4 linked regions of the Elephas maximus indicus genome follow. The protein of the gene in region 3 binds, or shares a complex with, the protein of the main gene of each other region. Links are inferred from orthologs where the notes say so. Each region holds a gene or a part of one and is shown on either strand. Other genes may lie near its edges. The genes, in order: ARHGEF6, DCP1A, DAB2IP and PAK1.

The links.
Region 1: DAB2IP (region 3) and ARHGEF6 share a complex: the UniProt entries of both Homo sapiens proteins name them as parts of the cytoplasmic complex. The link is inferred for Elephas maximus indicus from reciprocal best matches to the Homo sapiens genes DAB2IP and ARHGEF6.
Region 2: DAB2IP (region 3) and DCP1A share a complex: the UniProt entries of both Homo sapiens proteins name them as parts of the cytoplasmic complex. The link is inferred for Elephas maximus indicus from reciprocal best matches to the Homo sapiens genes DAB2IP and DCP1A.
Region 4: DAB2IP (region 3) and PAK1 share a complex: the UniProt entries of both Homo sapiens proteins name them as parts of the cytoplasmic complex. The link is inferred for Elephas maximus indicus from reciprocal best matches to the Homo sapiens genes DAB2IP and PAK1.

What each region holds. Positions count from the first base shown.
Region 1 is NC_064846.1:19,039,239-19,046,544, reverse strand, and holds the start of ARHGEF6 (rho guanine nucleotide exchange factor 6), read right to left. Parts: upstream 3,015-7,306; 5' UTR 2,928-3,014; intron 1-2,927. UniProt on the Homo sapiens protein: Acts as a RAC1 guanine nucleotide exchange factor (GEF).
Region 2 is NC_064838.1:57,513,904-57,521,330, forward strand, and holds the start of DCP1A (mRNA-decapping enzyme 1A), read right to left. Parts: upstream 3,011-7,427; 5' UTR 2,978-3,010; coding exon 2,843-2,977; intron 19-2,842; coding exon 1-18. UniProt on the Homo sapiens protein: Necessary for the degradation of mRNAs, both in normal mRNA turnover and in nonsense-mediated mRNA decay. Removes the 7-methyl guanine cap structure from mRNA molecules, yielding a 5'-phosphorylated mRNA fragment and 7m-GDP.
Region 3 is NC_064827.1:71,757,754-71,765,244, reverse strand, and holds the start of DAB2IP (disabled homolog 2-interacting protein), read right to left. Parts: upstream 3,017-7,491; 5' UTR 2,339-3,016; coding exon 2,215-2,338; intron 1-2,214. UniProt on the Homo sapiens protein: Functions as a scaffold protein implicated in the regulation of a large spectrum of both general and specialized signaling pathways.
Region 4 is NC_064825.1:44,661,009-44,667,970, reverse strand, and holds the start of PAK1 (serine/threonine-protein kinase PAK 1), read right to left. Parts: upstream 3,011-6,962; 5' UTR 2,833-3,010; intron 1-2,832. UniProt on the Homo sapiens protein: Protein kinase involved in intracellular signaling pathways downstream of integrins and receptor-type kinases that plays an important role in cytoskeleton dynamics, in cell adhesion, migration, proliferation, apoptosis, mitosis, and in vesicle-mediated transport processes.

The sequences.
Region 1 (7,306 bases), on a different chromosome or scaffold from region 3:
AGACACCCATGGGCCAGTCTGGGAAAATGCTGTCAATAAATAGTCTAGTCCCAGTGAAAATCTGGCTTCTGTCAGGAGGAGAATGCCAACTGGCTCTTAGGTCAGACAGGTCTGAACCTCGTGGGGAGCTGTGCTGGCACAACAGGGCTTGAAGAAGGTAAGGCTAAGAAAATTCTTCCTCCAAGAAAAGGCTGGATGTCATCATACTATCTAACAGAGATGGTGTGTCATGATCATTTCTTGCAAAACACGTTGAATTGTACAGTGACAACGTGCCAAGTGAATGAAGATTGTGCCTGCTGTCAGCCATCTCTGTGTATAAGCAGAAGCTTAGAAGAATGGCATTTTACTTTGCAGCCAAAAAGCTATGTTTAGGGAAATGGGCTAAGGATAACATCTGACATCCTGTTTACTTGCATTCTTTAGCAATTCTTTTTCTGGACCTGGTTCCACCACGCAATCCAGCTGTAGTACCCTTAGCAAAGGCTCAGACACAGTCTCATGAGAGAGTAAAATACACTTGAAAACAGAACATCTGAGAACAAAAGAGCACTTGTTCACACTGTCTACACTACGGTCAGGGAGGCTGATGTTTTCCCAACAAGAAACACTTCGCATTAAAAATGCTCTCTGAGACTATGTTGGCATCTCCAGTCTGGAGGGGAGATGAGAGAGCAGAGGCGGTCAGAAGCTGGCCGAATGGACACGAAAATAGAGAGTGGAGGGAAGGAGTGTGCTGTCTCATTAGGGGGCGAGTAATTAGGAGTATATAGCAAGGTATATATAACGTTTTGCACGAGAGACTGACTTGATTTGTAAACTTTCACTTAAGGCACAATAAAAATTAAAAAAAAAAAACCCTATGGAACAGTTCTGCTCTGTAACACGTGAAGTTTCCATGACTTGGAATCAACTTGATGGCAACAGGTATATAAAACATTTTAACATTCTTAAAAAAAAAAAAACACCCTTCAAAACCACCAGGGGATGGCATCTAAACACACTTTAAGCTATAAAATGGCAAGTAACATCCCTTACAGTATGTCTTTAAGGTTATTTGTCATAACTATTATTAGGAAATAAAGGAAAGTTACTTGATTAAAAACAAAATTCTCTGGGGAAAAAAAAAGTTAGTCTGTAAGAAAAGATCTTCATTATCCTCAAATATTTTCAGAACCAGCTGAAATAGTCACACTATTGGGAAATTTATCATAAGATCAACCTTTAATAAAAAAAGCGGTTAATCGCTCAGGCTGCTAACCAAAAAGGTCAGCAGTTCAAATCCACCAGCCACTCCTCCGAAACTCTATGGGGCAGTTCTACTCTGTCCTGTAGGGTAGGTATGAGTCAGAATCAACTCAATGGCAATAGGTATGTGGGTAAATGCACCACTACCCCTTTACTTCATGCATGGGCAGACACTGCCAGCCAATCTAGCTCTTTCCTGCTAAGCTTCACAATCCTTCTCAACAGAGGTTCAGGCACCTACTACCAAATAATTAGCTTAAATCACTCTGCTAAATACTTTCAAGGCTGTCTCTTCTTGTTCTGTCACGACACTTACGCCACTTTATTTATGTTATTGCTTATTGATCTATCTCCCCCACCAGAACACAAGCTCCCTCGAGTAGGGATCTCATCTGTCTTGTTTACTGCTGTGTTCCCAGCACAGTGTCTGGTACACAGTAGATGTTCAAAACTGCTGACTGATGAATGTACTTGTATGGTGTCCCTGTATAGACGCTACATGACTATAATGATTGTTTGTTTTTAATGGCTTAAACCAGACATTTTTCCATGCTGATTGAGATGTTTCAACAAACGGATGCAGCACTGGAGATGCTCACTCATCTATGCCAAGAAATTTGGAGGACAGCTACCTGGCCAACAGACTGGAAGAGATCCATATTTATGCCTATTCCAAAGAAAGGTAATCCAACCGAATGTGGAAATTATCAAACAACATCATTAATATCACACGCAAGCAAAATTTTGCTGAAGATCATTCAAAAATGGCTGCAGCAGTATATCGACAGGGAACCACCAGAAATTCAAGCTGGATTTAGAAGAGGACGTGGAACCAGGGATATCATTGCTGATGTCAGATGGATCCTGGCCGAAAGCAAAGAATAAAGAAAGATGTTTACCAGTGTTTTATTGACTATGCAAAGGCATTCGACTGTGTGGATCATAACAAATTATGGATAACATTGAGAAGAATGGGAATTCCAGAGCACTTAACTGTGCTCAAGAGGAACCTTTACATAGATCAAGAGGCAGTTGTTCGGACAGAACAAGGGGATACTGATTGGTTTAAAGTCAGGAAAGGTGTGTGTCAGGGTTGAGTCCTCTCACCATACCTATTCAATCTGTGTACTGAGCAAATAATCTGAGAAGCCCTCATTGTGGACACTATATAGATTACAATAAATTAGAAAGGTAAGGCCACCTCCTCAAGGCAGAAGAAAGAGCTCTATAGTATAAAGATTGGAGATTAGAATGGTATGGTAAAATCTCAAGAAAGCAAGTAATTCTGAGGAGTCCCTGGGTTGCACAAACAGTTAAGCACCGGACTACCAGCCAAAAGTTGGCGCTTTGAATCCACCCAGAAGTATCTAGGAAGACAGGCATGGCAATCTGCTTCTGGAAGGTCACAGCCTTGAAAGCCCTATGGAGTAGTTCTCCTCCGCACACATGGGGTTGCCATGAGTCAAAATCCACACAACAGCAACTAACAGCAACAGCAATAGCAAGTATATAAGGGAAATGACTAACCATGGAGTCCAGGCTAGGTAAGGAAGCAAGTGAAGATGGAAAGGAGCTGGTGAACTGGGAGAATGGGGAGAGGGTGAAAGACTGGAGGTCACAATGTCTACTAAGAACAATTTTCAGACAGAGTGTGAGTAAAAGGAGCAAAGGTCTCTCACCTTACTTCAGATCCTTAGTACATACACCCTGGGCCACTGAATCTGCTTTCTCACCGGCTTCTTCACCTCCATTCTCTCTCCCTAACGAAGTCTCTGGAAGAGCGCAGTTAGATGTTCCAGAAACACTTCTTCAATAGTGCAGTGCGTGTTACCCCTGCTCAAATACCCTCGAAGGCTCTCCATTGCCTAAGGCAGTGGTATTCAAAAAAGAATGTTCATCAGAATTTCAAATTCTCATGGAATCTAGACTTTCTGGAGCCATTGAGGTGTGCGAACCCCCCAAACTATTTCCCTGAGATAACCTTTAAACCTCAAACCAAAAATATCCTCTGAAGTCTTCTTTAAACCAAACAAGTTTTAACTTAACTAGTAAAAAATGTCTGCCTTGAGCATTGTGCTCTTTTAAAGCACCAATTACGTGGGATCAAATTGACAACAGCAACTCAAAAGAGTTGATTAAAAAACTTGGGGGCAGTGAGTTTATCTTAATGGGGAAGGAACAATTTAGAAAACAAGGGTAAGAGGGGTTCCATAACTTGAAGAATGTAATCAATGTCACTGAACTGTACATGTAGAAATTGGTGTATGTTCTGCTGTGTATATTAACAACAAAGAATAAAATAAATTTTTAAAAAAGAGTGTTCATAATGATCACTTCTAATGAGGGAGGGAGAAGAACGGAATGAGAAGATGGAACCTGAGACAAAATCTACCACCACTACTTACTTTGGAGTCCATTCTAACTCGTGGTGACCCAATGCGTTTCAGGGTAGAACTCCACTCCATAGAGTTTTCAAAGCCGTGATCTTTCAGAAGTAGATCACCAGGCCTTTCTTACAAAGCACCTCTGGGTGGGTTTGAACCAACAACTTTTCAGTTAGTAGCCCAGTGCTTAACCATTTGCTCTACCCAGAGACTCCTTGAGCCAAAATAGATACCAGTTTACTACAAGGGGGAAAAAAAGGAGTTCTGCAGGAAATAAGCCAAATGCTAACATTTGTTAAAGTTGTATGCTGGGTACAGTGGTGTCTGTTGTACTATTTTCTTTTACATGTTTGAAATAGTCATAATTAATTATTTTTATTTTAAATCTATTAGAGCACTTGTTAAAAAGAAGATTTCTGAGCCCTATTCTCAGACGTTCTAATTCAGACGGTCTGCCATGGGAAACGGGAATCCATATTATTAAAGCACTCCACTTGACCTTCGACTCCACCTTAACTTCTGTCAACACCTGGGTTAATTCAATATCCGCAAGAAAACGATTCAATGTCATAACCATTAGTTCCTCGACCTCCTGTAGTAGTAATTGATTCGACTCCCCCTTTTTGCCTGCACTGTGAAAACGAGCCTGGGGCCCTTCAATATTTTTTACTTTTACTTTACTTTGATGTGAAGTTTTATCAGTAGACAGCGGTGGAGAGAGAGTGCAAGAAGAAGGGGCTTTACTTCCTGTTTCCTGTATGCTCATTCCACAGGCTTCTGCAGAACTCCCAGCTTTCTTAGGGCCTGCCTTTTGCAACATTGGCCTCCCCAATGCACAGTAAGCAGGAGCTTCCCCTGGCACCAGCCTTGGGTGGTTTTGTAGTAGAGTGCCTCTAGTGAGACACCTCCCCTGTTAACAGGAAGCCAGCACCCTAGAGCGCACATTTTCAGCAAGTTCCAGAGATCAGATGTCTACTAAGTTCCACCAGCTCCGCACCACAGCAACTTCTCTAAAAAGGTCTGGATCTCAGCCCTAGGAGTGTGCGTAGTGGGCAGGGATGGATCAAGGCATGTAAGGACCCTAAACACTGATAACCTGTGGTGCCCCTTCCTCTGCTTACTCACACATTCAAACAGGATACATGAGTTCGATACATATATGTATGTGTGTGTGTGTCTTAGCTAACCATGATGTAACTTCTTTTTAAATGTGACCATAATATTAGCAATTGAATGCAAAAGTGGCTTGTGCCATTTTAGTGGAATGACTGGATTATAAAATTTTTAGTGGGTGCAGGGTACTCAGATTTTTACTATATACCACATTTTCCACAAAAAGAACATTCCACATATTCTACAACAAAGAAAATGAGTCAGTGAACTTAGTGGTCTCAACAATCAAGGTAAAATTCTGTTGATCTCCCACAACAAAACAATAACTTTAACCGATTTTGCTTTAAACCTCTCATACTTCAATTTCGATGTTTGTTTCATAAGAAATGTTATAAATGAAAAGAAGTCATAAAAGAAAACTGGACTTTCTAAAAAATTAAACACATATGCTCATCAAAAGGAAATGCTGGTGACGTAGTGGCTAAGTGCTACGGCTGCTAACCCAGAGGTCGGTAGTTCGAATCCGCCAGGCACTCCTTCGAAAATCTATCGGGCAGTTCTACTCTGTCCTATAGGGTCGCTATGAGTTGGAATCAACTTGATGGCGGTGGGTTTGGTTTTTCATTTGATCATCAAAAGACTTCACCAAAAGTGTAAAAAGAGAACCTAGAGACAGAAAAAAAAAAAATTTGGCTGTGACAAATTCAACAAAGGTCTAATCTCTAAAATTTACAGGAAAATCCAACACCTCTACAACAAAAAGACAAATAACCCAATTGAAAAATGGGCAAAGGATATGAACAGACACTCCACCAAAGAAGACATTCAGGCAGCTAGCAGATACATGAGGAAATGCTCACAACCATTAGCCATTAGAGAAATGCAAATCAAAACTACAATGAGATACCGTCTCATCCTGCAATTACTGGCATGAATCAAAAAAACAGAAAATAACAAATGTCGGAGAGGCTATGGGGAGATTGGAACTCTTATGCACTGCTGGTGGGAATGCAAAACGGTACAACCATTTTGGAAAATGATATGGTGCTTCCTTAAAAAGCTAGAAATAGAAATACCACATGACCCAGCAATCCCACTCCTAGGAATATATCCTAGAGAAATAAGAGCCATCACACGACTAGACATATGCACACCCATGTTCACTACAGCATTATCCACAATAGCATAAAGATAGAAACAACCTAAGTGCCAATCAACAGATGATTGGATAAACAAACTGTAGTACATACACACGATGGAATACGATGCAACAACAAAGAACAATGATGAATCTGTGAAACATCTCACAACATGGTTGAATCTGGAGGGTATTATGCTGAGTGAAATAAGTCAATCATAAAAGGTCAAATATTGTATGAGACCACTATTATAAAAACTCATGAAAAAGTTTCCACACAGAAAGAAACCTTTGAATGGTTACAAGGTGGGGGTGGGGGACCTTAACTAGGTAGATAACTGGTAACTTTTGTGAAGGGTAAGACAGTACACGATGCTGGGGAAGTCTGTGCAATGTAACCAAGCCAAAGTCACAGAAGCTTCACAGACATATCCAAACTCCCTAAGGGACTTAGTTACTGGGCTGAGGGCTGGTGACCACAGTCTCAGGGGACATCTAGCTCAATTGGCATGACATAGTCTATAAAGAAAACATCCTACATTCTACTTTGCTCAGTAGCGTCTGGGATCCTAAAAGCCTGCGAGAGGCCATCTAAGATACATCTAGTGGTCACATCCCGGCTGGAGCAAGGAGAATGAAGAAAATCAAAGACACAAGGGAAAGATTAGACCAAAGGACTAATGGGCCACAAATACCACATACTCCACCAGACTGAGCCAAGAACAATTAGATGGTGCCTGGCTACCACCACCAACTTCGCTAATAGGGATCAAAATAGAGGGTCCCAGACAGAGCTGGAGAAAAATGTAGAACAAAATTTGAATTCACACACACACAAAAAAAAACCAGACTTACTGGTCTGACAGAAACTGGAGAAACCCCAAGAGTATGGCCCCAGACACCCTTTTAACTCAGTACTGAAGTCACTCCTGAGGCTTGCCCTTCAGCCAAAGATTAGACAGGCCTATGGGGCAAACAATAACACATGTGAGAACCGTGCTTCATAGTTCAATCATGTATACAAGACTAAATGGGCACACCAGCCCAAAAGCAAGGATGAGAGGGCAGGAAGGGACAGGAAAACTGGACGAATAGAAACAAGGAACCTGGGTGGTGAAAGTGAGAGTGTTAGATACGTCATGGGATTGGCAACCAACGTCACAAAACAATTTGTGTATTGATTTTTTAATAAGAAACTGATTTGCTCTCTAAACTTTCACCTAAAGCACAATTAAAAAAAGAAAACTTAAGGATCAGAAAACAAATATTACAACAAATTACTGTATTTTATTTTTAGATAGATTAAAAATTTTTTTTTTAATATGTTATAACCGAAAACATTTCTTTCTATTCTTTGTTCTTACAAATTCTTCAGTGATTTCATCATAATCAAGCTGCCAGACAATACCTACTTCCATACATA
Region 2 (7,427 bases), on a different chromosome or scaffold from region 3:
TTCTATATCGGTCTTCTCCTGCAATAGACAATGAATCAATTAGTGTTTTTCCAATCATTCAAACCTAAACAGTCCTAATGGAGAAGATATGCCTTATGTTTAAGATCAATTTACTCATTGTAAGACTCATCAGTTGAACAAACAGGTAAGTCTCTCCCTCACTCCATCAACTGCTGTTATCAGTTTCTTCTGTATCCTTTCATTGCATGTAAGTATACTCAATGCTCAATCTAGCATCATATCTGTTACCTACATTTTTGTTTTAGCTAAAATATTTTAGTAACATTTCTTAATTTAAAAGCCAAGTTCCTGCGCACAGCAGCTCTTCACCTTTAAAGTTTATTAAAGTTAATAGGAAAAAAGTAAGTTTTAGCTTATAGGATAGTACTTTGTTTCATCACTGGGGGATTTTGATGTTTTAATGAGTTGCAAATTTTGTGATCAGTTAACAATTCCTGTCAAACACAATTAGTTGGCCATTTTTAGAACTCGGTTGAAGGAAATATTGAAACTGTAACAAAACAAAACAAAGCCCAGTTGCCATCAAGCTGATTCAGGCTCATGGAGACCCACAGAGGATATGGTTTTCTATGGCAGTGACTTTTCGGAAGTATACTGCCAGGGCTTTCTTCTGAGGTGTCTCTGGGTGGATGTAAACTATTAACCTTTCCATTAGTAGGCGAGCACTGAACCATCTGTGCCACCCAGGGACTCCTAATCTGTACCTATAAACAAACCAAAAACCAAACCTGTTGCCGTCGAGTCAATTCCGACTCACAGGGACCCTACAGGACAGAGTAGAACTGCCCCACTCATAGGGACCCTACAGGACAGAGTAGAACTACCTCGTAGAGTTTCTAAGGAGCCCCTGGCGGATTCAAACCGTTGACCCTTTGGTTAGCAGCCATAGCACTTAGCCACTATGCCACCAGGGTTTCCAACTGTAACTATACTCTGGCTTAATTACTACAGGTTTTACAAATAATTTTTAAAATGTCTTGATTAACAAAGTACAGTTCATTACCATCTTCATTTGTTGGGACAAAAGTGTATTTCGGTTTTAAATAGTTACAATGTTCACAAACAAACAAACAAACAAACAACAAAACCAACCCAAATAACCACATTATTAGTCTGCAGTTCATAGCTTACATTGGACCTTAATGTTTTAATGTAATCAGTAAACTTTTAGAGAAACTTCAAGTGTTAATCATATTAAGTTGAATTTGTTGCAATAATTTTATTTAAAAAAAGGTACCATCTTGGTTTTTTTCCAGGAGTAGTACTGCTGTAAGCTTAAATATCATCATGAAACTTTTCCTTCCTAAGGATTCAGAGGCTTGTTCTTGTTTTTAGTATAAGAAATATATTAACAACTGTCTCATAGTAAAAGAAAACTTGCCTATCTTATTTCATTGTGCAAAGTTACAATTCACTGTAAAATAACAGAAAAGATTTTGGTTATGCTCTATGAGCCATGGTTCAAATGAACAAACGATGGCAGCTTATTTTTCAATTGAGGTTATTGTAACTTGTATTTCATATTTAAAACAGAACTTCACAATTAAAATTTCAAAGCATTCAAAGTCTTGTGTCTTCACCATTTGCCCACAATCCATATTTATGCCTAACCATAAGTTTATACGTAGACCAGGAAAAGAAAAACGATTCAGAGGGCAATACCTAATACTGCTACATGTTTTTACAAAATCTGTAATTTTGTTCTTTGTGGCTTCTTCCCATACCTCCTTTTCTTCCAGGAGGGGGAGGAAAGAGGAAAACAAGATGACTTTGAAAACTCTCTTCTCTCAATTAACTGTTTGTAAATGCCAAATGGTTTGCACAGAGTTAATGATAAATATATACATGTGTAGTACATTATAAGAGGCATATTACAATAATAACTTTGAGAGTTTTGTTTAAGGGTTTTTAAAATTTCTTATTGAAATGTGAATGTCAAGCACAGATGAACTGAATCCAACAAACGTTTACGGCCTATTTTCTAGGTGTAAAGCCTGTAACTGAGTTTACTAGCAAGGATCAATTACAATAAAACGAAAATTCTGTTATTTAAACAATTACCGGAACTTCAAGCAGGGTCTAACAAGAGTCACTGAACAGACCACATAACCTTTAGGACCCTCTCCCATACAAACAGGGCAAAATGTACTTAGTCTGACTGGAGCATTCAGAGGTGACATAACCGGCATCACAGCTGGAACAGGAACGTACCTACAAGGTCTCTTTTCCAAAAATCTCACGGGAATCCTGATAACACGGAAGCCCTTTCCTAAGGGCCCTGAAATCTTCCCGGAAACAGTGTAAGTCCATTAGAGACGGACTCGCCCCATCACCCCTTCCAAGATTTGTTAACTAATTGCATTTCAAGCTTTAAATACAAATGACCTTTGCGGAGGAGGCTCTCATTTACGTGTGTTGGGAGGGGTGTTTATTATATTCACTATGTATATGCAACTTATGTAATAACCCTCAAAGCCTCAAACACAAGCCTTCAGGCATCTGTCTGACCCCACGGGTCTCACATTCCCCAAAGCATCTGCAAAGAAGGCAGGTCGCCCACGTCCCTGGAGCTGACGCCAAGCAACTCGACTCTGCCCCAAACCTCCCCGCCAGTGGTTTTTTTCCCAGGATACTTAGGGCCTACTTCTCTCGCTCATACTGCTTATCCCCGAAGGCTTCCGATGCCCCTGCGGTGCCCACCCCACTCTCCACCAGTCCTCGGCCTCCCGCATCGCCCCTCAGTCTCGGCAGCCTGCACGGCCCTTTTAAAAGGTGGCGGCGGCGGCCGAGCGTGCGTCTTTCGTGGCCAGGCTAGACTCACCCACTGGTTGGCCTTAGGGCAAAAAGTGTACAGAGCGACCTGGCCCGTGAGGTCCGCGATGCTGGTGATGTAAGGGTCGTGCTGTTTCAGGGCCGCCAAGCTCATCTCCTGCCCAGCTCTACTCAGCGACTCCATCTTGAATCCCGGAGCGGAGCCCCTCCGGCGGGGGCGGAGTCACGGGCCGGAAAGTGCATCGAAGCAAAGTTCCCCCAGCTTCGTCAGCGCCTTCGATTTCCGCCTCTTCATCAGGTCTTGCAGCGGGGCGGTGCGGCGACCATCCTGCTCCGCAGCAGGAGGGCCGGACTTCGGGTTCCGGCGCCGTCGGGTTCCCTCCACTAAACCTTTGCAGATGGAGGGTGGGGGCCGAGGGTGCCTCCTCTCTACGGGTTAAAACGTCGTGGTGCCGGGCCTCCCGCGCGCTTTCTTTGAGCTCCTGCGGGGCGAGGCAGGGGACCGATACTACGCCTGCCTCGGGCCCGCACGCGAGAAACGCCGGGGCCGCAGAACGGAAACACAGCCGTGGAATGCAGGGCTCCACGGACCGTTTGGAAAGCACAGAAAAGCAAGAGAGCATAGGGGTGCGAAAACTACCTCACGTATCAACACATCATTACCGCTAACAATTTTAGTGTTTTCTGAAGAAAAAAAAATTAAAAGCCAAAGTAGTCCACATAGAACTTCACAGGAGTGTCTTATCCTATCCACTTCTGCCCCTTATTTTCCTCGTCTTGGTCTCAAGTACATATTTCTACCCAGTTCTGGGACGAGCCCGTGAAAGCTTGAGTTTGTTGTGTATCATTTAAAGGATTAAAAAGATTATTCTTTTAGCAAACATCTGCTAAGCATTTTAAGGCATTTAAAGAGCAAGGTACTGTTATTAGCTAAAGAGAAACAAAGAGCGGAGACTATAGAGAACTCTCTTGCAGACCTGTTAAAAGGCAACATTTCCTTTATTGAAAAGATACTTTCAACTGAGGAAATGCCTGAATTGACAAATTTTGAAAGGAAAATTTCATAATTTCATCAAAATAACACTCTAAATGTGTATTGCACTGTATGTGTCTGTTAATGGAAAGAAGCTTCATGCCTTACATTCTTATCAGAATCAGGTAAGAAGCATGTACAACTGTGGACAAGGAAACACATCATTTATTCACCCTTCTTAAGCAAGTATTTATTGAACTCCTAATTTGGAACTAAGGAGCCCTGGTGAAACAGTGGTTAAGCCCTGGCTCTTAACCAAAAGGTCAACAGTTGGAACCCATCAGCTGCTCATTGGGAGTGGGAGGAAGTGATAGTCTGCTTCTGTAAAGATTTACAGCCTTGAAAACCCTGTGGGGTAGTTCTACTCTGTTTTATAGGGTTGCTAATCGTAATCCACTTGAAGGCAATGGGTTTGGTTTTTTAATATTGAACTCTGGCCCTTTGGGAGCTTCACAGTCTGTTAACAAAGGACTTCTGGCTCTGGGAGAAACTGAACGAAGTAGGACGATGGGAGGAAACAGGACAACACCAGAGATATTTGTTTTGAAACCCAGAGGATGTAGCTACTAATGCCATCTGACTCAGAAAGACTAGGCGAGCTTCATGGAGGAGGTGATGTTTGAATTGGAGCTCCAGGTATTAACAAGAGTTCATCAGAAAAGAAAGGTAAGTGTTCCCTTTCATTTCATAGTGCAGGAGTTGGGCAGGGAAGATGTCATCCGGATTTGACAGACAATTTAATTGACGCCTGGAGGGGAGAAGTCACTGGCTCAAAATTCCACACTGTCAGAGGGATTCAGTGTTAAAATCTCACATTTACTTGAGTTCTAATTTTGCTTTGGAGTCCCTGGGTGGGGCAAATGGTTACGCGATGGACTACTAACTGAAAGGTCGGTGGTTCAAACCCACCCAGAAGTGCCTCTGAAGCAAGGCCTGGTGATCTGCGGTGACAAGGTCACAGCTTTGAAAACGCTATGGAACAGTCCTACTCTGCGCACGTAAGGTCTCCATGAGTCTGACTTGATTCGACAGTAGCTAACAACCAACAATTTTGCTTTATATATGTGAATCAAACTTTAAGACCTTTTGTGTGTCTTTTAGAAAATAAACTCTGAGACTAATACCTAGCACAGCCCCTGGCATAGAGTAGACCCTAAAATGAATGAATGTCATTTTAAAACCCAGCTCTTTTTTTTTTTTTAATAATTTTTACTGAGCTTTAAGTAAACATTTACAAATCAAGTCAGTCTGTCACATATAAGCTTATATACACCTTACTCCGTACTCCCACTTACTCTCCCCCTAATGAGTCAGCTCGCTCCCTCCTTCCAGTCTCTCCTTTCGTGACAATTTTGTCAGTTTCTAACCCTCTCTACCCTCCTATCTCCCCTCCAGACAGGAGATGCCAACACAGTCTCAAGTGTCCACCTGATACAAGTACCTCACTCTTCATCAGCATCTCTCTCCAACCCACTGACCAGTCCCTTTCATGTCTGATGAGTTGTCTTCGGGGATGGTTCCTGTCCTGGGCCAACAGAAGGTCTGGGGACCGTGACTGCCAGGATTCTTCTAGTCTCAGTTCGACCATTAAGTCTGGTCTTTTATGAGAATTTGGGGTCTGCATCCCACTGATCTCCTGCTCCCTCAGGGATTCTCTGTTGTGCTCCCTGTCAGGGCAGTCATCGATTGTGGCCGGGCATCAACTAGTTCTTCTGGTCTCAGGATGATGTACGTCTCTGGTTCATGTGGCCCTTTCTGTCTCTTGGGCCCTTAGTTGTCGTGTGACCTTGGTGTTCTTCATTCTCCTTTGATCCAGGTGAGTTGAGACCAATTGATGCATCTTAGATGGCCGCTTGTCAGCATTTAAGACCCCAGACGCCACATTTCAAAGTGGGATGCAGAATGTTTTCATAATAGAATTATTTTGCCAATTGACTTAGAAGTCCTCTTAAACCATGGTCCCCAAACCCCCGCCCTTGCTCCACTGACCTTTGAAGCATTCAGTTTATCCCGGAAACTTCTTTGCTTTTGGTCCAGTCCAGTTGAGCTGACCTTCCGTGTATTGAGTATTGTCCTTCCCTTCACCTAAAGTAGTTCTTATCTACTAACTAACCAGTAAATAACCCTCTCCTACCCTCCCTCCCTCGTAACCACAAAAGTATGTGTTCTTCTCAGTTTATACTATTTCTCAAGATCTTATAATAGTGGTCTTATACAATATTTGTCCTTTTGCCTCTGACTCATTTCGCTCAGCATAATGCCTTCCAGGTTCCTCCATGTTATGAAATGTTTCACAGATTGGTCACTGTTCTTTATCGATGCGTAGTATTCCATTGTGTGAATATACCACAATTTATTTATCCATTCATCCGTTGATGGACACCTTGGTTGCTTCCAGCTTTTTGCTATTGTAAACAGAGCTGCAGTAAACACAGGTGTGCATATATCTGTTTCTGTGAAGGCTCTTATTTCTCTAGGGTATATTCCGAGGAGTGGGATTTCTGGGTTGTATGGTAGTTCTATTTCTAACTTTTTAAGAAAACGCCAGATAGATTTCCAAAGTGGTTGTACCATTTTACATTCCCACCAGCAGTGTATAAGAGTTCCAATTTCTCCGCAGCCTCTCCAACATTTATTATTTTGTGTTTTTTGGATTAATGCCAGCCTTGTTGGAGTGAGATGGAATCTCATCGTAGTTTTAATTTGCATTTCTCTAATGGCTGATGATCGAGAGCATTTTCTCATGTATCTGTTAGCTGCCTGAATATCTTCTTTAGTGAAGTGTGTGTTCATATCCTTTGCCCACTTCTTGATTGGGTTGTTTGTCTTTTTGTGGTTGAGGTTTAACAGAATCATATAGATTTTAGAGATCAGGCACTGGTCAGAGATGTCATAGCTGAAAATTCTTTCCCAGTCTGTAGGTGGTCTTTCTACTCTTTTGGTGAAGTCTTTAGATGAGCATAGGTGTTTGATTTTTAGGAGCTCCCAGTTATCTGGTTTCTCTTCATCATTTTTGGTAATGTTTTGTATTCTGTTTATGCCTTGTATTAGGGCTCTTAACGTTGTCCCTATTTTTTCTTCCATGATCTTTATCGTTTTAGTCTTTATGTTTAGGTCTTTGATCCACTTGGAGTTAGTTTTTGTGCATGGTGTGAGGTATGGGTCCTGTTTCATTTTTTTGCAAATGGATATCCAGTTATGCCAGCACCATTTGTTAAAAAGACTATCTTTTCCCCAATTAACTGACACTGGGCCTTTGTCAAATATCAGCTGCTCATATGTGGATGGATTTATATCTGGGTTCTCAATTCTGTTCCACTGGTCTATGTGTCTGTTGTTGTACCAGTACCAGGCTGTTTTGACTACTGTGGCTGTATAATAGGTTCTAAAATCAGGTAGAGTGAGGCCTCCCACTTTCTTCTTCTTTTTCAGTAATGCTTTACTTATCCGGGGCTTCTTTCCCTTCCATATGAAGTTGGTGATTTGTTTCTCCATCACATTAAAAAATGTCATTGGAATTTGGATCGGAAGTGCATTGTATGTATAGATGGCTTTTGGGAGAATAGACATTTTTACTATGTTAAGTCTTCCTATCCATGAG
Region 3 (7,491 bases):
ACTCATGCCCTGCCTAAGTGCCCCTCCCAAGCAGCTCTCACCACCCCCCAGGACTCCCCTCACTCAGTCAGGCCCCAAGCTCTGTTCCCTGCTCTTCCCCCTCCCCAGCCCACCCTCTACCCCTCCCCCAGGAAGAGCTCTGTCCACAATGCCCAAGGCATTTTCCATCTTCCTGTCTTTGCAGGAGCTGTTCCTTCTGCCCAGAGAAATGACAATAGGTCACACGCCTGTGGCCCAAGCCCCGAACACAGGCTTCCAGCTTTCCATGCATTCCTACTCCCATTCTTAGAACTCTGCCGTCTTTATCCCATTTACCATTTACCAGCAGAGATCACTGAGGCTTGGTGAGGTAACCGGCCTAAAGATAGTTATGTGCAGAGCTGGAATTGAACCCAATTCTGACTCAACCACTCCCTGGGCCAAAGGAAATCCTATCTATTTTGTAAGATCCCATCCAAATGTCACCTCCTCTGTGAAGCTCTCCCTGATTTCTCAGTTGTAACTTCTGCTCATTGACAGTCTCCTCCTTACCCCCAGCAGGCTGTGAGCTCCTTCAAGGCGTGGGGCACAAAGCAGGGCTCCTATACCTGTGGGGCCTGGGAGCTGGGGCTCAGGGGAAGGCCAACACATGGATTGTCCCCTTCCCAGCCAGCAGAACTGGTTGAGAGGAGAGCTCTTGTTCCTCTCCGTGCCTTGGCAGCCAGGGAGGAAACTGGACTGAGGTGAAAAGTTAAGGGAAAGGTTACACAAGGCATTTCCAAGGTGAGGAGAGGGGCAGGTTGGGGTGGGTGTAGGAGAGGCCCCAGGGTGGCCTGAGCATTATTGGACATTTGTACAAATCCTGCTTGGCACAGTATGCACCTGTTTCTTCACCAAATCGTCCCAGTACTGCCACACTCATATTACAGTGGAGGAAACTGAGGCTCTGAAAGGGGAAGTGACTTGTCCAAAGTCACACTGGCTTGTGCTTGAATGCAGATCTCTGGTCTCCAGGGCCAAGACTGAGGGGGTGGGAGGTAGCCAGAGGCCACTTCAGGGAAGACAAGGACTGGGGAACCATGGGCCTCGAGAGAACCTCGAGGCTTGAACTCTGGTCCACACCTGTGCACACCCTTAGACTCAGCTTGAATCTCTCCATACAGAGAATTCACTACTTCCTGAGGAAGCCCTGTACGTCATTGCTCAGCCCCAACTATGGGAAAAGTCTTCCCCATTCTGCGGGGAAGCAAAACTAACATTTAGTGATGCTGAAGGGCAATGTTACAGGTCCAGGTCATACAACCAGCACTTGGAGAGGTTAGACCCTGATCTGCAGACTCCATGACAGCATTTGCTCAAACCCCGTCTGGGCAGGCACAGGGCCAGCCTTCCCAGCTTCCTCTGACAAGCAGGTGGTAAAAAAGCAACCCAGGTCCCTATGAGTGCTGCTGCCTCAGCTCCACCCCTGGCTCTGTTGGCACCTTCAGGAGGGCCTGAGCCTTTGCCCAGGACTCTGGCCTCTCCAGCGGACCTCTCTCCCTTCCTCCCACCCAGCCAGGAAAGGAAGTCCTGGCCCCCACCCAGCCCTGAAGGCAGCCCCCTGGATCACACTCATTTCCAGCTGAGGATCCAGTTACTGGAAAAAGAAAATGCTGCCTGCACCTCCCCCTCTCCCCTGCTTCCAGGGCTTGAAGAAGGGAAACTTCAAAGGAGGTAAGGCCCACCCACCCACTCAGCTTCTGGCTCCTTCAAAGCCAAGGATCCCTGGGATAGGATCCCTCACCTGTCCCTCCCAAGAGGGGAGTCAGTTAAGTCCTTGGAAAGGGAAGAAGTGCAGGATTGGCGAAGCTGGGAGGCCAGGGCAGTGGAGGTGAGGCAAGGGTAAGCCAGGGTCCATCCTGGATCACTTAATGCCCTCCTGCCGGGTAAACTGAGGCACAGTGGGGCAGGAGGTCTGATCTGAGAGGTCAAAGGAGGAGAACCCTGGCTTCCAATCTCCCATCTCCTTGCCTATGGCACAGGGAAAACACTAAAGACACAAGAGGGTGCACATGAGGGAGAAGCTGGAGGTAATGGGGGTCCCGCAGACGGACTAGTGGGCACCAGGAGAGGCGGATGAAGGGCTCCCCCGTAAGTGGCTAGCAGGAGGATCTTGGGTCCCTGGCATCCCGGGGCATCAGGTGATGAAGCGGTGGTGGAAAGGGTCTGGGGGTCAGGAGTGGGGGTCGCGCCTACCCCTGGCAGGACGGGTCCGGCTGCGGGAGCGGCTCCTCTGTCGCTGCAGCCGGGGCCGCCTCAGCAGCCGATAGTAGTAGGAGGGCCTCCCGGTGCTCTTCCTGGCGCTGCCGCCCGCGGACATGCTGCCGCCCGCCGGGCACCGGGCCGGGGCTGGGCGCGCTCACACGGGCCCCATCGCCCGCTCCGGACCGCCCGGCGGGCGTCCCTGCCTTCTCCCGCGCTCGTTGGTGCGGCCGCCGTCGCCGAGGCCAAGGCTGCCCCACAAAGTCGCTCAAACTCCTCCTCCTCCCCAAAGCAGCCGGCCCCGCGGCGGGGGCTGGGGACCAGGAGGCCGGACTGGCACCGGCCCGGAAAGTCAGTGCTGGGGAAATCCCGGCCTGGACTCTAAGGGGCGAGGCGGGCCGGAGAACCCCCGGAACCCCAGGCCTCCACGTAGGGAAGCAGGAGGGCCTCCCCCGTCTCCCAGCGCCTGAGGACTCAAAGCCCGATCCCAGGGCGCACGGGGCGCCCCATCCCAGCGGCGGGTGTAGATGGTGCGCTCCCGCGTGTGCGCGATCCGGGACACAGGGCAGGACACATGCAAGGCCTCCAGGCAGCTACGCTACGCGGAAACCGAGGTCCAGGGAAACAGTCAAGGTCAATTAGAGTCCGAATGAAGGGGACTACCCAGTTTTGCCCCAAGTTCACCAGGCTGAGAATCGAACCCATCGGGTCTAGCCCCAGCTGGGTTGAAACACTCTGCTTTCAGGCAGAATACATGCCTATTCTTTACGTTTTAAGGATTGTCCCATTTGATACACATTATTTTTTATATAATCAAAATTGTGGTGTATATTTCAAGCACACAAAAAGTGGAGAGTACATAACCAACACCCGTGCAACCAGCAGACTTTGCCAAATCTGAACATTTTGCCCCCTTTGATTTAGACACCCTACCCCCCCGACCCCCCCCCCCACATCCATAAATAAAAACCACAGATACTGCAAAGTCTGCATCCCTCTGGACATTTACACCTACTCTGGCAGGCCTGGGGCAGTGAGGGAGGGGGACAGGGAGAACAATTCTTACCCTGCTGTAGAGAGGGGAAACTGAGGCTGGGAAAAGGGAGCGTTCCAACTCTCTCAATTGCAACGGGCTGAAAAACTTTCACCAAGTCACTCACTTCCCAGCTCAAGAACCTTCCATGGCTGCCCAAAGCCCAGTGCCAACAAGCCCATGCATTCTTCCCTTGTCTTTGGGGCTTCAACACTCAGGCCCCAGCCAAACTGCCCTCCAGCCTCACTTCCACGGTTCCCCTGCTCCTTCTCACTTCTCTTTGCTTTACTCCCAGCCCCAACTGCCTCCCATGTACGTTTCTTTGATTAGCCAAAGTCCATCCTTTACAGCACACTTCCTCTAGCCTTCCCTGACCATCCAGGCCCTCAAGGATCTCTCTCTTTCTCCTCTTATTCCCTACTCTCCCCTACCCCTGCTTCGGAATTTATTCTTTAAACCATCAGGCAATCATCTGCCTGAGTTCTATTTCCTCAAGCACAGAAGGGAAACCGAGGCCCTGACAGGGAAGTCCGACTTGCCCCAGTCAACAGAAAAACAGTGGTGTGGCAGAGGCAAGTGCTCTTAGCATGGGATCCCCTATATGCCGTCTTAGGTGTGTGTGCGGGGAGGGTCATGTGTGGGTGCCTGAGGCAGTCTGGGGGTCCACCTTCTGAACTGCTGAAAAGTTGGGGCCCTGGAGATAGCAGGCAGTCTGGGCAAGAATCCAGGCCGGGTTTTGCACCTCACAGGGGGAGCCCCCTCCCTCCCTCCCTCAACCAGGGGGGAGGGCCCCCAGGTCAGCAGAAGCCTGGATCACAGCTGGAAGCCAGGCGCCTTCCCAGGACCAAGGGGGAGGGGTAGCAGGGGTATTGCTCCTCCAGACCTAGTCTGGGGAGTCCAAAGCTATCCCAACAAAAAGGGCAAAGACAGCCAGACTACTGGCCAGTCCCAGGAGAAGATGGAAGACCACATAGCCATCTAGGACACCATTAGCCCGCTTTGGATTAAGCACTGCTCTACGTTATTTTCAACATTAGACATTGCCCAGGAGCCTCTTTCAAAGGGCAATGCCCCTGGGAAGAGCTCGCACCCAGTCCCTCAGCACCTCAGTCCCTCAGTCGTGGGCCCATGGTAGCATGCATTCTCTTCTGGCAGGGCCACCAGAACCCACCCACTCATGCCTTGGCACATCCAGTAATAAATAACCTCCCTAGCTGGACCCACCAGTTTGGGGGAGTGGAGGGCTCCCAATGTGCGGACAACAACCCTGCTTCCAGGGTTCATCTGGCCCAGTTTTCCTCCCAAAGCAGGAATCCCCTGATCAGCCAGGTTTTAGCCTCCTGTTGAGGAGATGGGAGGCTCACTGCCAACACACTCTGGTCAGTAGCAGGAGCAAGTGATCTCGGCCTGGGGCTCCCAGCACATAGTCTTAGGTATGTGGAGGGAAGAGGGAAGTAGCCAGGAACTCTGGACCTCAGTCTATAAACACGGTCTCCCAGCTTATGCTTGGGCTCCTCAGGTCCCTCTCTGTGCCTCAGTTTCCTTTCCCGCGAGGAGAAATTACGTGTCCCCAATCGATCTACCTGTGGAGGGAGGAAGGTCAGATAATGAATAGGAAGCCGCCTGGCCTTGGAGTGGGAACAGGCAATGTCAATCATCCCAAGCAAGAGCCAATCACCTCCACAGGCCTCCTGTCAGGCACTGGGGCTGGGGTTGGGGTACAAAGTAGAAAGGCAAGATAGGAGTGAGGAGAAGTCCTGGGCTCCCTGCCCCTCCCCCTGGCCCAGGACCTCTGGGGGCAGACAGGCAGACAAAGGCTGCTCCCTGCAAGCCCCAGCAGAGCATCTGGGATCAATCCTGCTGCAGAGGCACAACTCACCCACCCCCTCCAACAGTCCCCCACTCACTGCCCCTGTGGCTTTCTCCCTCCAAACAGAGTAGCAACCCCCACTTCCAGAGACCGCCTGGACTGAGGAAGGTGTCTCAGAAAATATCCCTCCCTCCCCATCTCATTGCTTCCTGTGACACACTCCGCTTAAGGAGAAGCCCTCTGTGACTGCCCTAGACAGAATTAGCATCCCTGCCCTGCTGATCTGTGAGCCTCAGACCCTCCAGGGTTAACAGTCTGGCCAGTAGTCCTGCCCCACCCCCACCCGCCCACCTCTGTCTTGCCTCCAGAAGGGCTCCAGAAGAGGCCTGGCTTCCACCTTCATGTGCTGCTTTGGGTGAGGTCAAGGCCTCCATGGTTTCTACACCGCTGAGCCTCCCAATCACCCCTGGCTCTTTAAGCATACATATTTCTGGGTTTCTCCCCTGATGCTTGATTCAGTGGGTCTGGATGGGGCCAGGAAATCTGCATGCTTCCTAAGTGCCGGGCAGGGAACTGGCTAAATCAGACCTGACCCAACCCTACTGCCACTAACTCCTACTTTCATCCTTTTCCGGAAAAGGAGGATGCCCAGAGCACCAAAAAGAACGAAGCTCCATCACAAAAGAGCTGCCTCCCTTCGCACCCCTTCCCACTCCAGCAACCCTGATGTATCTGCCTCAGACCTTCCAGAGGCACTGCATGCGTTCCTTCTCCTTCCCAGTTCTGGCCTTAGCCATGAAGCTCTTCCTTCAGCACCCACCTAGCAAACTCCTCCTTATCCCTCAGGACCCAGCTCAAATATCACCTCCTTAAAGATTAAGTCTACCCCGAGTCCCAATGACAGACCCTCCTCCGTACTCCTGCCATACCTTGAATAATAGGGATACTAAGAGGCCACAGGGAAGCCCAGGAAGAATGGATCCAAAGAATTGCCCTCCAGGCAGAGAACAATCAGCATCCAGGTATCCTAAAGGTTGAGAGTAGTGGGCAGCATGGGAGCTGGGCTGACAGTCCAGGTAAACCATGGGCCAGGCCAGGGCTCCAGGTTAGGAGAGGCATCCAAATGCAGGGAAGGAGGGCTGCCAGGCCAGCCCAGTGCAGCCATCTTACTAGGAGGTGTTAGGTTTAAAGTCAGTGCAGAAAGAGAAAAAGAAGCATATCATCAGAATTACCCATGAAAAACCTTAGATGGCCCACAGAGGACAGTTTTTCCTCCAGTGTTAAGACCAAAAACACCAAACCAAACCCACTGCCATCAAGTCGATTCCGACTCATAGCGACCCTACAGGACACAGTAGAACTGCCCCATAGAGTTTCCAAGGAGCGCCTGGCAGATTCGAACTGCCGACCTCTTGGGTAGCAGCCATAGCACTTAACCACTACACCACCAGTGTTTCCAGTGTTAAGACAGATTATCCATTTATTCACCTGAGCACAAAGCAAAAAGGCCTGGTTTGCACTGAAGAAAACATTTTGTATGGGAGGAAAACAACAACGGGTTGGTTATCTTTAAATGCTAGACCCTACCCAGGGAGGATGGGGCAGTGGTGGTTCAGTGGTAGAATTCTCACCTTCAATGTGGGAGACCCAGGTTTGATTCCTGACCATGGCACCTCATGTGCAGCCACCGCATGTAGAGGCTTTTGTGCTACTATGATGCTGAACAAGTTTCAGGGAAGCTTCCAGACTCAGACTAGGAAGAAAGGCCTGGCCATCTACTATCAAAAATCAACCAATGAAAACCCTATGGATCACAACGGTCCAATCTGCAACTCATCATGGAGATGCTGCAGGACCAGGCAGCGTTTCATTCCATTATGCCTCGTGTTGGAGAACCAACTCGACGGCTGCTAACAATGACAATCCAGGGAAGAACAATGCTCATGCTGGAGGGAACCATAGAAACCAAGACCTCCCCAACAGAGGAGGGCTACAAGTTTGACCTCAAAAGGTTCATTCGAGGGTGAAGTTTGGTAATAATAATGGTAGCTGAGATGTACTGAGCATTTACTGTGAGCCAAATGCTATCCTCAGCATTCTTCACACTTTATTGCACTCAATTTCTCAATGACCCTATGAGGCAGACAGTTACCCACCCTATTTTACAGAAAATATAAGAGAAAGGGTAAGTAAGGCCAGAGGGCTTACCTCAAGAAGGAGCCAGGATTTGAACCCAGAAGGGATGGCAAAAGCAAAGGTCATAAGGTTGACCAGGACTTCATGAAACACAAACTGGAGGGTGGGGGGAGGGGCTGTGTAATAGCCTGGAACTTTCTTTAAAAGCAAGCTTTGACAAGGGACAGGAGGAGGCCTAGATTGAGGGGCGGAAGTCCCCCCCAACAGGGGAAGCATCAGAGCCCTCACCAGG
Region 4 (6,962 bases), on a different chromosome or scaffold from region 3:
GGACAGAGTTAGAGCTGCCCCATATAATTTCCAAGGAGCAGCTGGTGGATTCCAACTGCTGATCTTTTGGTTAGTAGCCATAGCTCTTAACCACTGCACCACCAGGGCTCCTCCAGCCCAAAAGGTAGGCAAAAAGCGGAATGTAAGAAAACTCTTAAACTGGATGAACGGACACGGGGAACCCGGGTATAGTGGTAAAGGAAGAGAGCACCAACACATTGCGGGGATTGCGACCAACGTCAAAAAAATTTGTGTGTGCAAATTTTTGAATGAGAAACTAATCTGCACTGTAAACAAAGCACCATAAAATTAACAAAGGAAAAAGAAAACTCTTTGTATACTATCTGTACACATGGGGTTACGAGATAAAATGATACAGAGAACAGGCATCACCTTTAAAGAAGATTTGAGTTTATGTTCTAGCTCTGCATCTGACTTGCTGAGTCAAAAGTTCCCTCCTCTGCACCACCACAGCCCCTTGTGCTTGCCTCTAGATACTTACCATATGAGGTCACAGGTACCCACACTCTTTGACCTGCACTGGATGGAGGGCAGTCACTGAGTTCAACTTCCACTTTTGTATCCCCAGCACCTGATACCATAACTAACACAGATGGTTCAGAGAACATCTGATGATGAATGGATGCCTTATTCAAAGCTTTTTATATAGATATACATTTCATATTCTGGCCTAGATGGTGAGCACCAGAAAACAGCAACATTGTCACTCTCATCTCTGCTGCCTCTCTCACTCACCCACTTTGGGGACACTACTCAAGAAAATTTTGCTGAGTAGAAATAAACCAGTCCAAAAAGCAAGTCTGCATAGGGGAAGAGAATTAACCTATATGGTCCCTTTCCCAGACTATAGTCCTTCCCTTGCCACCCCCTCCCCACCCACCCCTACGCCCAAATAATCCCTATCTTACCCAGTCACCCTCTTCTTCAAAAGGCCACTGTTCTTCTCCCCCAGAAGAACCTAATCCCTCCTAGGTTCCCACAGGGTTTTCCCCTCTTCTTTCCTGGGCTCATGGGTCAACTTCATTTCTTCAGCAATGTCTCAGAGCTGCCAAAGAGTGTTTGGTCCTCCCCCAGTCACTCATCTCACTAAAGGGAGTTTGAGCCTCTGCCCAGCCCTACTGGACACACTTGCTCTCCTCCAACTCTAGACCTCAAGCCTCTGACTTCCCATTTAATTTACTCCCTACAGCCCACCTGCTGGAAACTCTGGTGGTGTAGTAGTTAAGTCCTGTGGCTGCTAACCAAGAGGTCAGCAGTTCGAATCCACCAGGCGCTCCTTGGAAACTCTATGGGGCAGTTCTACTCCGTCCTATAGGGTCGCTATGAGTCGGAATTGACTCGACAGCAGCAGGTTTGGGTTTTGGCCCACTTGCTGGACCCCCAGGGAAAGAGGTTGGGGGACAAATCCAAAAGGAAGGATTACTGGCACTGGGAGAAGACAGAATTTGGAGGAGAAATCTCATAGCAAGGGAGTTAGGTAGGAAACAGAGCATGCTGAGATCTCACAAAACACCACAGCAAAAGGTCCCTACAAACCAGTAACCTACTAATAATGAAAAAGTTTAACCAGAAATTGTAAGAGGGAAAGAGAAGCCTAACCAAGAATGAAGGACTTAAGAGAGGGAAGGAAAAACTGGCTATGAAGAAGAGATAAGAAAGGCAAAGCGTGAAGGGACCAGGAAAAAGGGAGGAAGCTGGGGTGGGAGAATAGGTGGGTAGGAAGAAGGGCAGGAAAAGATCAGGAGGAGGAAGCTGAAAGAGAAGTGGGGAGAGCTAAAAGAGGCAGGACCAAGGAAAAACCAGGGGGAGGAGGAAAGTTCAAAATAATCTAGGTAGGTTAGTAGAAGGCCTGACATGTGTTTCTTGGTCCCAGATAATTAAGAAGGAAGAAATTACAGTGATTAAGTCATTATACAGCCCCAAGGCTTGTCATTAACTTAGCAGGGAAAGGAAGGGGCTTCACACAAGACAACATAGTTTAAAGCAGCTTTATACACAATACTGAAATGGGCAGCTCAGAAAAAAAACCATTAGCATACCTTGACCTGCTTCTTCACAACCCCACCTCCCTATATCCAAATATCAGCATTCTCAGCCTCTGCCTTGCCCATGAAGTCACTGGGTCCTGGGCAAACCAGCAAGATGCATTCAAAAAGCTAGCTGGAAGAGATAACGCCAAGATCTGCTTCCCAATTTCGCCTCTGTCTCCTACAGTGTAAGGGCACGTTCCCAAGACTCATTCCAGGGCTTTCGCCTGCTCATCTTTCCAAGACACTTTGACAGCCTGGGAAAGCCAGAGTTACAAGCAGGATATCAAGTCTTTCATTGCAGAAATAAAGAAACTGAGGCCCAAAAAGGCTGTCTGAACCAGTACCAGCCCCCCCCCCCCCCCGCCAGGTCTCCCATTTCCCAGTTCACTTATCAGTCACGTAGAACATCCCCCCTTCCCCCGCTCAGGACCCAGAGAAAAGCTCCACGGTCCCAGCAGGCGAGAAGCTAAGCGAAGGCAGAGGTGAGCATCACCCAGGCCACCACGCAAAGGGTACTAGCAGACGAGCGCGGGCTCCCGCAGCAGAGCAGTTCCCCAAAAGCGCAGCTTCCCCTTCACACCCCGGCGAGAGCTCTGATGCCAGTGTAGGCCTAACCCTGGGTGGGATCATCAGAGGGTTCCACCCTCTGCCCCTTCTCTCATTTAGGGCCTCTTAAAAGAAAGGGAACGAAAGGAGGCTTAAAATTCCGGTCTCCCCGGAAGCTGGCGGAGACCCCCAGCGCAAGCCTAGCTGGGCACGCCCCAGGCAGGGCCGGCATTACCTGGTGGGGGGCGCCGACCCCGGCATCCCTGGCGACCTCTTTCGTCGCAGACCCGCAGCTCTCCCGGCCAGCACGACCGCGCAACAGCCAGTCTCCCCGGCTCCGCTCCTCGGCTGGGCCAGGCTCTGGGCAGCTGGACCGCCCCAGCTCCCGCGGTGCAGCACGCTCGCGCCCTCGCAGGGCGGCAGCAAAGGCGAAGCAGAAGGGGCGGAGAAAGAAGGCAGAGAAGGAGGCGGGAGGAAGTACCTTCCCAATCAGCTATTCTCCACCACCCGGTCTCCCAAATCAAACCAAATCAAACCACTGCCGTCGAATCGATTCCGACTCCAGCAGGAGGTAATTTCCCGCCGGAACCGGGCTTTCCAGGTTCTGTCAGAGTCCTGGGCGCGCCCCAGAGTCAAGGAAGAGAACCAGAGCTTCTCTGCGCCTCAGTTTCTGCAGCTGGCTCTGGCTCTGCACGAAGCCCTCTTCCAGGTCTTCTGAAGTCAGATGTCCTACAATTCCATCAGATTGGGCTGCAGTAAAAGCGGTTCCGCACCCCCCACACACACATCCCACACCCCCAAAACGTGTCAGGTCTAATTCTAATGCCCCAGGGAAAACACTGGGTGGGCCCTTATGGCTGTTTCAAAGCAAAGCAAGCTCAGCAGCAGCAGCTACCGTTTAAGTGCTAATTGTATACCAGGGGCTTTACAAATATTAGTCTGTCTCTCATCAGCCTTGTGAAGTGGGGACTACACCAGTTCACACACAACAAAACTGAGGCCTGGGGAGAATGTGGTTTCATATGGTATTTCTTAAGCACCTATTGTGTCTCAGGCACTGTAAGGAGCCCTGAGCTGAACAACACCAAATTGCAGGCACAACACATTCCAAATGCTCCCCGTTGTTGTTTATTGTCATCTAGTTGATTCGTGGAAACCCTGGTGGCGTAGTGGTTAAGTGCTACGGCTGCTAACCAAAGGGTCAGCAGTTCGAATCCGCCAGGCGCTCCTTGGGAACTCTATGGGGCAGTTCTACTCTGTCCTATAGGGTCTCTATGAGTCGGAATTGACTCGACAGCACTGGGTTTGGTTTTTGGTTTGGTTTAGTTGATTCGTAAGGTCGCTATCAGTAAAAAAAACTTGACAGCAACTGGTTTGTTTTTTTGTTTGTTTTTTAGTGGATTCAGACTCATGGCAACCCCAAATGTGCAGAGTACAACTGCACTCCATAGGGTTTTCAAGGTTGTGACCTTCTGGACGCTGATTGCCAGGCCTGTCTTCCAACATGCCTCTGGATGGGTTCGAACCACCAACCTTTCAGTTAGTAGTCCAGTGCTTAAACACTTGTGCCACCAAAAAACCAAACCTGTTACCATCGAGTCGATTCCCACACATAGTGACCCTAAAGCACAGAGTAGAACTACCCCAAAGGGTTTCCAAGGAGTCCCTGGTGGATTCAAACTGCCAAACTTTTGGTTAGCAGCGTAGCTCTTGACCAGTACACCACCAGGGTTTCCTTTTGCCACCAAGGGACTCCTCAAGTGCTCCCTGTTGTTATCATGTCCCGTCAAGTAGTTTCCAACTCATAGTGACCTTATAGGACAGAGTAGAACAGCCCCCATAGGGTTTTCAAGGAGCGACTAGCTGGTGGACTTGAACTGCTGACCTTTCAGTTAGCAGCCAAGCTCTTAAGCATTGTCCCACCAGGGCTCCAAATGGTCGCTAGGAGGTAGTATTACCTCACCGCCCCTTCAGAGAGACTGCAGGAGTCAGATTATGCAGGATCTCTTCCAGGTCACAAATAGGAGTTTGGATTTTTTTATACATACGATGGGAAGTCTTTGGAAGATTTAGTAAAGCAAAATGAGAAGATCTAATTTGTTTTTAAAAGCTCACTGACTGCTGAATGAAGAATGGAGAGTGAAGGGAAGATGGAAACAAGAAACAAGTTAGTAGATTCTTTCAGAGTTCCAGGCAAAAGATGATGGTAATGATTTGGACTAACATATTGGAAGAATAGATGAAAAGAAACAATTATGTAATAAAAATACAGTTTGCAAGGAGAAGCTGCACAACTTGGTGATGGGTGAGAGAAGGCAGTGACTTCTCCAAGACTACACAGCTGGTAAATGGCTGAGTCATCTGAACCCTGGTTTGACTCTAAGCCTACACTTTAGTTCTCTCTGCCTTGGTGTTAGTCTTCTCCATATCAACTACCACTGACACAGACATAAAATTACTGTTAAATTGCTATAAAAGTTTTCTAAACACTTTCAATTTCTATGCTTACCACACAGCAGACTGGAAAAAGTTCAGACCCTACTTTGAGTAGCGCTAGTCTGAGGAACCCTCCACTAAACTCAGTCCTATTTGCAATGACCTTCTTACTACCTGGTTCCCTGAGAAGACATGATAGTGTAAGTGAAGTCTGTGGGAATAATCATTGCCTTTTTTTTTTTTTTTTTAATTGTACTTACTATTTCCGATAATTCAGTCTACAGCTGCATTACCTTTTTAGCCACTGAAATACCTTTGGCTGACATTGAGCTTAGGCAGCTAAAACCACCAGTCTCTTTTTCATAAGAACAGCATCATTCTAGGTCTCCTCCAGTCTTCCCATATGTCCTCATTTCTTTGCAATTTAAAATGCACGACTTCACTGTCATTCAATTTTATATTGTTGGCTTCAGCCCATACTTTCAAGCTCTCTCTCTGCTATCTAGCATATTAGTTTCCTTTGGAGCCTTTGTTACCTTCAAATCTATCATGTATGCCATCTCTTCAAACATTTATCAAACATCTACCATGTGCCCTTGCCTGTGCTAGGTTTTCAAGATTAAAGGATTAAAGATGACCTAGAAATGGCCTGGAATCCCTGGGTGGTACAGTTAATGCACATGGCTGCTAACCCAAAGGTTATAGGTTCAATTCCACCCAGAGGCACCTTGGAAGAAAGGCCTGGTGATTTACTTCCCAAAAATCTGCCATTAAAAACACTACGGAGAAAGTCTATTGAGGAGGAGCCAAGATGGAGGAATAGACAGACACCTCTGGCGAGCCCTCTTACAACAAAAACCAAAAAAAAAAAAAAGTGAAACAAGTATATTTATGACAACCTAGGAGCCCTGAACATCAAAGGCAAGCTTAGAAAACGAACTGAGGGGCAGGGGGAGGAAGCAACGGTTCAGAAGCAGAGAGGAGTTACCAGACCTGAAACACAGGGAGCCCTCAGGCACCATTCCTGGAGGCGGCTGCGGCAGGCTGGTACTACCGTTCAGCCACAGTTTCCTCAGGGAAAAGCAGCCAGCCACACAGCCTACTCACACCTCCAGAACCAGAGAAGAAGAGCACTCTCTGCAAAAGCTCGGTACATGCGTATATTTTATTGCCCCACCCCACCCCGCCCCCAAGCTGGCTTCAGAGGCTGTTTTCCCTGGACCTGAGGTAGGCCCTGTTGAATGCTTAGAGCCATCCTCCCAGCGTTGGAGAAGGAGTAAATTTGCAACTGGGGGAGAAGATAATTTGCCAGCTCCACTAACCAGGGGACCTCAGGACAGAAGCAGCTCCTGTACAGGCATAAACAGTCCATGGACTTTGAGCACCTTTCCCCTCTACATGGACCTGTGTGGGCCTATTTAACAATAGGCCCTTGTTGGCACACTACAACTGTTTCAGCTGTGCGGCGGAAAGGTGGGTGTTTGATGTTTGACATTGCTTTGCCTATTAAACAGGGTCCTCACCTACTCACATCAGGGTCCTAAGGACTGGTAGCTCCACTCAGGTTACCCAGTCACCTGCAACATGGGTCCAAGGATAACTGGTACCTCCCAGTCCTTACAACCAAAAATATTGAGTGTCCATGGTCCATCTACAGAAGCCACCCACCTGTATGCTGTAGGGAACAGGGACACACTTTCCTCAGAGACACGTGGGGGATGATTCTCAGCCCCCTGCCTTGTTCAGAGCATGACACTCTGCTGCAACCAGATACGGGTACCTACACCAATCACCCCTGCCCCTCTAAAACTATAGGACAGAGCCTGTATCACATACTTGATGACCAGCTACCTGGACACCTGAGCTGAATTCATACAAGAAAAGTGAATGGATTCCTAGACTGATATACCTGATAAGAGCTCTAGCCAT